Linked DNA regions of Drosophila melanogaster. The protein of the gene in region 1 interacts with the protein of each later gene in a pairwise test. Each region holds a gene or a part of one and is shown on either strand. Other genes may lie near its edges.

The links. Proteins that work in one complex are often made in the same cells at the same time.
Region 2: the proteins of CG11052 (region 1) and CG32354 interact in a two-hybrid assay, tested with the Drosophila melanogaster proteins (one large-scale study listed by BioGRID).

What each region holds. Positions count from the first base shown.
Region 1 is NT_033777.3:8,007,719-8,011,412, forward strand, and holds CG11052 (uncharacterized protein), read right to left. Parts: upstream 1,580-3,694; 5' UTR 1,506-1,579; exon of another isoform or gene 1,437-1,505; 5' UTR 1,334-1,436; coding exon 1,129-1,333; intron 1,075-1,128; coding exon 1,058-1,074; intron 944-1,057; coding exon 834-943; intron 783-833; coding exon 665-782; 3' UTR 531-664; downstream 1-530. Other genes in the region: CG2767 (uncharacterized protein), read right to left, coding at 178-249; CG3223 (uncharacterized protein), read left to right, coding at 1,770-1,911, 1,985-2,401, 2,460-3,148; CG10435 (uncharacterized protein), read right to left, coding at 3,391-3,516, 3,577-3,694.
Region 2 is NT_037436.4:8,415,965-8,423,707, reverse strand, and holds the start of CG32354 (uncharacterized protein), read left to right. Parts: upstream 1-1,502; 5' UTR 1,503-2,641; coding exon 2,642-2,867; intron 2,868-5,848; coding exon 5,849-6,869; intron 6,870-6,925; coding exon 6,926-7,123; intron 7,124-7,184; coding exon 7,185-7,728; 3' UTR 7,729-7,743.

The DNA of each region.
Region 1 (3,694 bases):
CAACCAAATTGTTGATTGCATCGGAATCGGAATTTCAAGAGATTTAAATGACGTGTCAGCGATTTGTTGAGGTCATTAATAAGTTGAAACAATAGTATTAAGATTCGAATATCTACTATCCATTTAACCACTTACAAGCAATCTATGAAATTACAGAATTAACGTGATTATAAATACCTGCCAGGTGCCGATGCCAATCACGGGCATCTTCTCTCCATTGTTGAACGTTAAGAACTTGGTGTTGACCATTTTGTATTGATTTTTGATAACTTGTACACTAAAACAGACTTGAGTAACAGATTAAATGGAAAAGATGCGGCACAACCTGTTGCTTCGAGGATTGAATTGAAATTAAACAAGAAGCTACGACCCAGTCACCGGCCCACTTATCTCACCCAATCCAATGAGATTCTGCCTTTTGCAAAGCGCGGTCTTACTAGTCGATATTTGTTTAACAAAACAATCGAATTTAAAAATAAATGTACTTACCATAAATGGTTTAAGGCTCGTTTACTATAAAATATCGGACTAATTTATTTGCATTTTAGTTAGATTTAATATTATAACAATAGAAAAATTTGTAGCTCATATCCAAATACTGTATAAGTGTGTGTAAGAAAAATTCAATTCCGTTTCTAAATGATTTTAAGCTTTTAGAGAACAACTAATCCACCACTATGGAGAAGTTAGTGAACGTGAATTCTGAAAGTTCTGTAGTCTCACTGAAAATGCATTTGTCAATTCGACTGGTGGGGCTGCCGGTGTGCTTTAGCCAGAGGCGCCTGTAAAAGAACGGCTTGATAATTAAACGTTGAATGGAAAAAATCACTCACATGGACTCAAAGGAATGTCGGTGTGCTTGAATTTCGCCCTTCACCGTATTCTCGTTGGTGTTTTTGCACCAACCCCGGACTCCCAGCTTTTGAGCTCTTCGCAAGGTGTACTAAAACATGGTAATTGGATTACAGTAAAGAGATTTCACATATACAATAAGAGGTAGCAGAAAATCCATAGCTCAAAGGGGTTTTGAAGATCCCATTTCCCAGCAAGCTCTTACCATTCGAAATGAAACGCCTGTTGGTGCCAGATAACTAATTATTGCGACTATACGATTTGTGAATACCCTACCTTGCACAATGCCGAACACTTCGAATTGGCAGCTGAAGACCGGCTCATCGCTTCTGTCCGATGTTACTCTTTTTTGGAACTCTGTGTTCGAAATTCGGTTGGGCTCCTCGCTGCCTTTTTTGGATGGTGTACCTTTATCTGGTGTCGAAGATGGAAGAGTTACCCTCCTACGTTCACCCTCAGTCTGCGTTTCTTGGGAGGTCATTTTACAACTCGTATATTTAACATATTTGGAGCGGAAACTGTCAAAAATCGATAGGTCGATAGGGATTGAGGGTTTTATTTTGGGTCACCTTGAATTTCAATGGCTTTAAAAACAGTACATTTTAAATGAAATGACTTGAACAAGGTAAAACAAAAACAATAGCAAAAGTTACGTTTTCTTATTGTCAACAAATGAACACTTATGTTGAAAATTCGACAGCAATCCTAGAGCGGTATTTTTAGATCTAGCTTTTTTAGCCTTTTTTAAATCGTCGGTCGACCCGATCAGTCTGGTTCGGGCTATCGGGGCATGTAAGGGTCACCCTGTGTTCAAGGCGGTTCGTTGGAACCAGTTCCGAACTGTCTTTGAACAAAACAAAATCACCCAGACAAAATAGTGAATTACAAATATTACGCAGATTCTACATCAACGCACTATGCATACCGTGTACGCGCTTCTGAAGAACAAGCTGAGCGATGTGCATCCCCTACACAACATCGATCTGACGCGGGATGTGGCCTACCTAAAGGCGGTGGTGACCAAAGAGATGCACTTGCAATTCGACGCCAGCGAGTTGGGTGAGTGACCCTCGGGATTCAAATCGCTGTCCATTGTCTCTATTGTGTCAAGTCATTTGCTGCGCACTTGCAGAGATCATCCACCACGGACGCGTGCTGGAGGACGCAGACACCCTCAACCGAACGCTGCAGCCCAACGCCGTGATCCACTGCTTTCAGAAGATTAAACGTTACTCGCCGTATGTGCCGCCAGCCGCCGCCGAAATCAACACGAAGCATATTCAAGAGCTGTTTTCGTTGACCTCGCACCTGCAAATCAGCGTTACCTCGCGGTTCAACATTCTGCAGAAGATACTCGCTGAGTATCCGGAATTTAGGCGAAATCTGGGCGCCCAGGCCCTTATTCGCGACTCCGTACTGTTCAACATGCTGCACGAGCCGGAAGTGGTCCAAAATCTCGTTAAAGATTATCCCCTCATCTGCGAGGCCGCTCCATTCATAGTGGACACCATTCGCAAGGAGCTAGCCAGAAATAGCTCGGCCACGCAGTGTAACTAATGCCGTATCTATTCTTGATTTGTATATTTTACCCGTTTCTTCCTTTTTAGTGCAGGAGCAAGCTGCTTCGGAGTCTACTACTTCGTCAGAGGAGGAAAACTCTCTGGGTGCAGGCAGCAGCAGCAGTGGTGGAAGCAGCAGCACAGCCGTGGCAGCTGCCGCGGCCGCCAATCGGCGTGATGAGATGGCCAACATCCGTCAGATTAGCCGCCAGCAACTGGCTAACGCATTGGCTAACGTGACCCCGTTTAATTCACTGTCGAATATTGCGCAGAGAAACGCGGACGAGGCCGTGCAGGGTGATGAAAGACCTAGAACCACCTCGGCGCCATTAGCAGGCGTTGGAGGAGCAGCGGGAACAGGCGCAGGAAGCAGCAGTGGAGCCATCAGCAGCGGATCCATATCCTCAGAGTTGCTCCGCAACGAGCTGGCCCGCGCTTTTCAGTCCCTGTCGCAGGATCAACCGGCGCCTGTGGAGAACATGGAGGTGGAGTCCGGAGAAGGACCAGTACCAGAGCAAGCCGCCACAGCACCAGCCGATGATGTAGATGACGAGGACGATGGTGGAGACGACAGTGATGTGCTGCCACGCCGCTACCGTCGCCATCGGTTCACCGAACAACTGCGTACCATGGCCGCCATGGGCTTCATTAATCACACTCAGAACGTTAGTTATCTAGAACTTTCCGATGGGAATGTGGAACACGCTATTAATCTGCTTATGCTGAGCATGAATTAATAAGGATCGGAATTGACTAAAAAGCCAACATAATGTGCTTACTTTACGGACTTATATTTATTCTGCTGCTGAGGATTCTGAAGCATTAAACTCCCAACTTAAGCAAGGAATATCTCTTAATAACTTTTAATAATTAAATATACGTTTAGAGGAGTCATCTTTGTAAGCTAATTGGGGTGGGATTGCGGAGTTTGGGCATGGGGGTAAAAGCCGGCCGTACAAAAGGTTTCCACTAAATTATACTAGTTGATTAGATAGTCCAGCGCCTTGTCCTTATTATTGTTGAACTTGAGTAGCGCCGCCGAGATTTTCGATTCGTCAAAACCGAGGTCCAGAAGTTCTCCCAGTGGAATAAGGTGTTCGATAATCTGAAAAGACGTCCCAGATCGGAATAATGCATTTTGCAAAAGTTTTCGAAACTGACTTACCTTCTTATCGTCGATACCGCATAGACTAACCACCTTTGCCACCCGTTCCAGAGGGAAACCCATAGTACTGATACGTTGGGCCAACTTCTGTGCCGGACCAGCCAGCTCCCTAAAGGAG
Region 2 (7,743 bases), on another chromosome or scaffold:
ACTTACTGACCTCTTTTCCCATGCGACGGCCACTTCCACCTCCACCTCCACTCAATTTTCTTTAATGCACGCGACTCCGCCGCCAATGATCTGCTTCTTCACCTTCCTCCACCCACCGCCAGCGCACAGTGGTTCCAAAACATGTGGAATTTAAGCACCCACAACGCATTTCCCAAAAATGATGATTTATTGCACAAAGTTTTAAGGGAAAGTACTCGTAAGAAAAAAAAGCAACATTAAAATTCTTAAAAAGATTGAATATTAACTTAAAGCTCATATGTCCCGAACCATGAAAGATTAAGGATTATGTTTTGCTTAAGAACATTTATTTACTTACTATTTATAGTTTAAAATATAACTTCATTTTTTATGTTACTAGCAAGTTATTTATTTGGGTAGCATTACTTTGTATTCCTTTTAACATAAGCTAGAATTACTTAACTAAAATATTATTATATCAAATATATAATACCTAAGACAATTAGATAAGGTCTAAGCTCTAATAGCTAAACTATGCCAAAATCAAATATTTTTGTGTGAATGCATTAGTAAACATGCACCTTAAATTGGCATCAGGACACTGTGCAAGGTGATAGTAGGCTATGTGTGTGTGACCCTTATTCGCAACGGCCGCTGAGGCGTAAAATTTATGGCTTTAAAGTCTACAAGTCTATAAACACAGCTTCCAGGCTGCACTTTCTACTGCAACTGCAACTGCCAATGCCAATGCCACTGCAACTGAATCGTGGACTCGGATCGTGAATATTGTATATTGGATGTGGGATGGTATGGCTTGGGTTTGGGCATCGGAGATGTTGGGGGAGCACGGACGTGGATGTGGATGCATCTGATCCGATCGAATCGTATCGTATCGAATCGAATCGAGTGTGTGAGTTATAATTTCAAATGCGGCGCGCCTTTTTGGCTGCATTTTGCTGCCACTTTTGGCAAATTAAATTTGTACGCAAAACCGATTAGGCCAGGCAGACATGACCAAGTTGTTATTTTAAATACCAACAACTCCATTTAATCAATATGCCCCGGCACCCAACAATGCACTCGAAAAACTTGTGGTAGTAAACCGTTAAAGTTTAAAAAGAAATATAGGTCTATTCAAAAAGATCAAGACTAGACTACATTTTTAACTTAAATTTACTTGCTCTCTTTACTGCTCTCAATATATGTTACATTTTGAAAGTTTGAAACTGCACAGACATGCATATCTTTGAATTGTATCCTTTTACAATCCACCATTGCTGTTATTGTACATTATAACTTTTTTATTATTATTCATATATATTTTTATTTTTTCATTGTTTTTCAACTTTAAAAACTTAAAGAAAGCGGTGCTTTTTGTCCTAACTGGAAATACTCTTGATTTAGTATTCAAAAGATGAGTGAATTGTTTCGAGTGTAGCTGCAACAACAACAGCGCTGGATGCTCTGCTCTGCCGTCGCCGACTGCGCTGCCTTTCACCCATATAAATTTCTTTTCATTGCAAATTTTTTGCCATTCGTCGGCGCATTGTCAAACCTTCCAGTCGCATTTGGAGCCCAAGCTTTCCGAGATTTCAGAGCGACTCTAGAGCGCACTAAACAAAGGCCTAAGAAAAAAGTTAAAAAGGCGAAAAAAGAAACAGAGGCAAAGACGACAATACGAATTGTACAAATCGGATGCGAGCGCGAGTGTGTTAGTGCCCATTCATTCATTCATTCATTCGAGAACAATAAAAAAGAAGAAATGAAATACGAAATGCAATCGCCGCAGTTGCAGTCGCAGTCGGCGTCGCAGTAGGCGTCAGCGGAGGCATCGGCCGAGGCAGAACAGTAGCAGCAGCATCGAAATCCGAAAGACAGATCATTTTTCATATGCGAATCGAAACTCGAAGAGCGCGCATCAAAGTCAAATTCAAACGACAAAAGAGTAACGGACAAAAGCGAATTGTTTTGTGCGCATAATAGAAACGAAAAAAAAAAGAAAAACGTTATAAAAAGCAAATAAAAGGAAAATAAAGCCTTACCAGAACCAGTAATTGAAATCAAATTAAAGGCGGGCCGTGCAAAAATCCACAAAACATCAAGAAAAAGCCATAAAGCCAAGGCGATAAAAAAGAAATTATGCTCCATTGTGCGATTGTGTGAAAAGGTCAAGTGCCCGGCAGGCAAAGGGAAAAGCGAAAGAGACAGAAGACAGCGTAAGACACGGGAGCTTGATGTTGATAGGCAAACGAATGAACTCGTAAAAGGGCGCTAAAGAGAGAGAGAGAGAAGGCAACACAACGACATCGGTTAACAAGAAGAGCAGGAAGAAGAAGAAGAAGAGCAGGCCAGGCCCAAATGACCGCAAGATTACCGTTAATTCGAACAGCTTAAGCGCCATTACGAGCAGTTATATAGTCCATATACTATATAGCACCACTATATCTCTATCTCCCTGGTAGATCGACCGAGGAAGAGAAAAAAAAACTTTCATCCACCGTGAGCCGCAGCCGCATAAAAGTTTGCTACTATTTCAATTTCAATTGTTAACGAGCGAAAGCGCCGCACGCCTCAGTCTCACATCACGCACGCATCCGATCCGAGCGGCAACAACAAATCATCAAGCGTCTAATAGGAAAAGTGCAGCAGACAGCCAGCGAAAATGCACCACAAACAGCATCTGCATCTGCATCTGCAGCCCCCCGCCCCAAACGCCACCCAAACACAGGCCCACGGACTTGGCCAGACTCCAAGCCAGATCGCCAGATGCAGCCATAACCACAGCCCCAGTCTGGGCCTCAGCTTTGGCGGCACCAAGAGCCAGCGACAGCTGTTTGGCGCACTCTTGGCCATGTTCACGTTGGCGGCATTTGCGTCAACCACCAGTGGTAAGTCGTACACTGCGAGAAATCCCAAAATTGGTGCTACACGTTGAGTAGAAAGTCACAGGAAGTAGTCTTAGATCATTCGAATCTCTTTCCTGGCATTCTCACTATTCAAATTGTTTAATTGCCTCAAGAAATGAATCAGCTAAAGAAGTATACGTTGATTCAGATTCAGCAAAGTTCCTCCTAACTAAATTAAAATCAGATTAAGATAAAACTAGGTTCCTTAAGCAGAGCATTAAGTCCAATATAATCATAAAAGAGAAAACTGACTATGGAACTCTTAAGCCATTGCTAAAGTAAAGAATGCTCTATTTAAATCCAGATTAGTTAACATTACATTTAAAAGGGCCTAATACAAGTTTCAAAGGGTATTAGTTTTCCTCTTGCTAAATGTACTTTCTCCTAACTATCACATCGTTATTGAGTTGCAGTTAAAACTGCGGACAGAGTTCTAGGGAAACCCGAGTTCTTCAGCGGAAAACGGCAACTGATCTTGAGCTAAATGAAAGTTGCAGACAGACTGGACAAGTCCCAGTGAGTGCCGTCTCAATTACCGCCTAATTTCTCCGGGTGTTGAAACGGAGAAGGTGAATCGGGGTCCGGATCTAAGACCTACAGCTGTGCGGTGGTAGAAAGGCCGTCGCAGCAGCTATTCAACTATCCATTTCTAAGGTACTACTCCGCACAAAGTGAATGTAAACTGGCACACATACACGAGCGCGAAGCTTCCAATGCCCCAACACCTCTCCCCCCACCGCCCCCTAGACCACGAACTCCCCAGTTTGAGGCACTCACTCCTCGACGCACAACATGCTCGTAAATATTTTCGTGCACAATTTGTCCAACATTCGTATAAATTCATTAAAAGCACGAAGGGGCCAAACAGAAGCCGGGGGCCTGAAAACGTAGGGGGGGGGGGGGGCTGGTGGAAGAGGGGCGAATCGCTAGCTCATGGGGGGGGGGGAAAATCAAGCTGACCGCACAGTGGCAGCGAGCTGGAAAGGGTTGGGGGTCAATTGGGGGGGTTACATCGTTTAAAGTTGACCCGAAGCGAAATGATTTATTTGACTTGTAAGCGCGATCGTTTGGCTAATTGATAACCGCACTTCATCGGAGATTGATGGGTGAAAGATCAATTAGTTTTGGATGCTGTGATATATGCTCGCATGCATATACACATATATATGTACATATGTACATATATGTTTTAATGGCCCCAATCAGTGGCGCCGTGATTCATTCATCTATGGGCTTGGTCATGTCGCTGCTCGCCACTGTGCCACACCAAACCGGAGCAAACCGAGTGCACATGGTGTGCTCCATGTGCATATATAGATATGTATGTACATATGTACATATATATATGTACATACCCAGTATATATCATGCAAAAGTCCCTGCCCAGCAGTGCAGTGCGTTGGTTGCTGGATTTTTCCACTTTTGAAAATTATACGGTGGCTGCTTTTATTATTTCTCTCGCCTTTTTTTTTTGCAATTGATGGCATCCGATAGGCAGGAGCCTGCCAGCAATTCGCTGGAGGCCAGGAAAATGCACCTGCACTGGGAGAAATCAGCAGAACATATGAACAAAAGGAAATCAGTAAATCAGAGGTGTATTTAAAATGCAAAATAGTATGGTGTATGGTGTTGTATAAGTTTGTACCATTAGTTTGCATGAGTGATTTGATTCTGAGTTTATCCCAGGACTAGTACCACACTTTTCTGCCAGTGCAGGATTGGTGAGAGTGGGTGGGGCGGTTGAGGTCGCATTGCTGCAATGCTGAATGAGATTGGCTGTGGTCTCGGCTTTTGCCTCTGACCATTCCAGCGGATCGTTTACATGTGCATTAATTCCTAACGCCGCTTAATTTTCTCCGCGCTTAATGGCTCCTCTGGATGCCGATGCCTCCGATTCAGATTCGGACTCGCATCCAGCCAGAGAAGCATCCGAGTCCATTAAGCTGAGAATGCGTCTGCTCGACTGACTGACTGGCTGGCTGGCTGGATGTTGAAATTTCCATCTTTATGGCCGGCAGCAGCAAATTGGAATAATGAACGTGGGTTCAATTATCGCAGCCAAACCATCGTGTGGCAGCCTCAAAGAGCGCTAATAGATTTTCTACTGCTGTTGGGTATGTCTATTTACGTTCGTATATCTTTAACTAAGTTGAGTGCTTCCTCCGGAGGCGGCTCTCACAGCTTTCTTTGCAAACAAAAAAAAAAAAAAAAATAAGAAAAATGGACAAATCAACCCAAACTAAACCAGCAGTTCCACATCCGACCAAAGACAACAGAAATGTTCGGCGCCGGAGGCAATTAGTGTGGAAATTTCACTTGCAGTTTTTAGCACAGATTAAGCTTACGATTTCTGGAGGGGATTAGCATGAACAATTATAGATGGAGGTCGCTGATAGTCCGTATGAACGAAGCGAGTGTATTAGCTGTGCTCAAACCACAGCCAAAACATAAATGCCATTGTGTCGTTTTACTTGGAATCGAGATTTGAAGACGGGTAACATTTGCCGTTGCCGTTAGTAAAAAGGGAAAGAATTATTCAAGTTAATGGCTGGTTACTTGAGTCGGTCATGCGATCACTCCAGAATCAGAGACTGGTCTCGGATGCGGGGGAGTGTCGGCGGGTGGCGGCATGGACACAGTGGGTCACAACTGCGCAAAATGCCCTATGATCGTGCGGCTAATCTGACATTTGTATGCCCACAGTTGACTCTTCCGCATGCCACCGCTAAAGAGCTGTGGAAAATGCGAAGGGAAAGTTTCATTTGGCGGTCTCGAAACAGAGTTACCCTGGGAAAATTCGATGGACAACCGGTCATTACGTGCGGGGAAGTAGTAATTATTACTAAGCTTTGTTTAATAAGTTCATATAACAGAGGAGGAGGAACTACTGTCTTGCTTTAAATGTTTAGAATTAAGTTTCTAGATAGAAACCAATTAAATTCTAAAATCATTTCCATCCACAGGCGCTGTGACAGACTCACCCATCAAGATTATCCGGCTGCCGGCGCAGGCGCCAGTTATCCGCTATCGCAGTGCAGATGCGGCGCCCAACTCATTGCTGATCAACTATCGTCAGGATGCGCGACCGGAGCTGTCGTCCACATTGATGCAGGCACCCGGAGCGGCGGCAGCTGCCTTGGAGTCGCTGCTGCGCGAGGAGACGGAGCAACAGCAGCTGTCACAGATGGGCAGACGGAATAGGGCTAGTAACACCGGCACCGGCAACTGTCCTCGATCCTGTCCACCGAGCATCACCGTGGGAGCTGAGCCCGTGTGCGGCAGCGATGGTCTGATCTATGCGAATATCTGCGAGCTGCGCAAGAAGACTTGCTCCCGCAGTGGAGTGTCGCTGATCAAGGACGTGCGGGATGGCTGCGAGAGGTCGAAGGGTTCGGACTGCAAGCACCGCTGCAGCACGGAGAAGGATCCAGTGTGTGGTACAGACGGAAGGACCTATCTGAATCGCTGCATGCTGAGGGTGCAATCGTGTCGCGTGGGATTGGCTGCAGTGAAGCTATCGCATGTGGGTCCCTGCAGCAACACGAGTGCCGTGCGTGAGTCCTGTCCGGTTGACTGCAACAGTGCGCCGAAGGATGGACCAGTTTGCTCATCGGATGGCAATGTATACAACTCCACGTGCGAGATGAAGCTGAAGACGTGTGGACAGGGTGTGGTGAAAACCAGCCGGAAGCACTGTCAGTCCACACGAATGTGCAGGGAATCCTGCTGGCGTGTGGCGAGGCCCACTTGCGGATCAGATGGCAGACTGTATGCCAGTCCGTGCAAGATGCGCTCTTCCAATTGCGGCAAGCACGTCTTTGAGGTTCCCTTATCCTACTGCATGTCGCAGGAGAGGCACGGAGCCTCCGATGCCTGTCCCACGGAGTGTCCCAAATCGGATACGGATTCCTCGTCGCAGTACGTGTGCGGCAGTGATGGCAACATATACTCTTCGCTGTGTGAACTCAAAATGCTCAATTGCGGGTGAGTTTGGATGAGATAAAAATGGAATATAACCAGACTAAAATTTTATCTTTCAGTCCACAGCGCAAGTCCATTCAAAAAGTGAGCATGGACAAGTGCAAGAATCGACTGACCCGCTGCAAACAGCTGCCTCCTTGCAAGGACTTCAATAGCTTGTTCGGTTCCATCTTCAGCTCGAAGCGAAATGACAAGCTCTGCGGCACGGACGCCAAGACTTATAACAATGAGTGCGAACTGGCCCACGCCACCTGCCTGTGAGTATCCATGATAGGATCATCCATAGGACATGGATCTAGCTCTTCAACTTCTTTTCAGACGCGGCGTGAATCTGGCCCACATTGGTCCCTGCACGGATCTCAATTCGCCCACCAAGGATTGCGGGGATGCCTGTACTCGGGCGGATCTGGAACAGCAGCCAGTGTGCGGCTCGGATGGCAACACCTTCGCCTCCATGTGCGAGTTCAAGCGGCGCACTTGCGATCTGCGTGTGGTGCCCGTTTCGCTAAAGAATTGCGCTTTAACCGCCGACTGCGAATCGGATTGTGATGCCCAGCCGCCAAGTTTCGTCTGCGGATCGGACAACAACTTGTACAAGTCCGAGTGCCACATGCGCAAGGAGAATTGTGGCAAGCATGTTTTCGTGGTGCCACTGAAGCGCTGCCTTGCCGCCTTTCAGCTTAAAGGATGTGCCCGCATCTGTCCCAGGGAATTCGAGCCTGTTTGCGGCAGCGACAATAAAACGTATCTGAACGACTGCTTCCTGGAGATCGAAAACTGCAGGGCGAACCAGACGGTGAACGTCAACTACTACGGCGCCTGTGGCCGCCCCGAAGCACCATCCACTAACTTCCTTTACTAGGACGTATGTATGCGT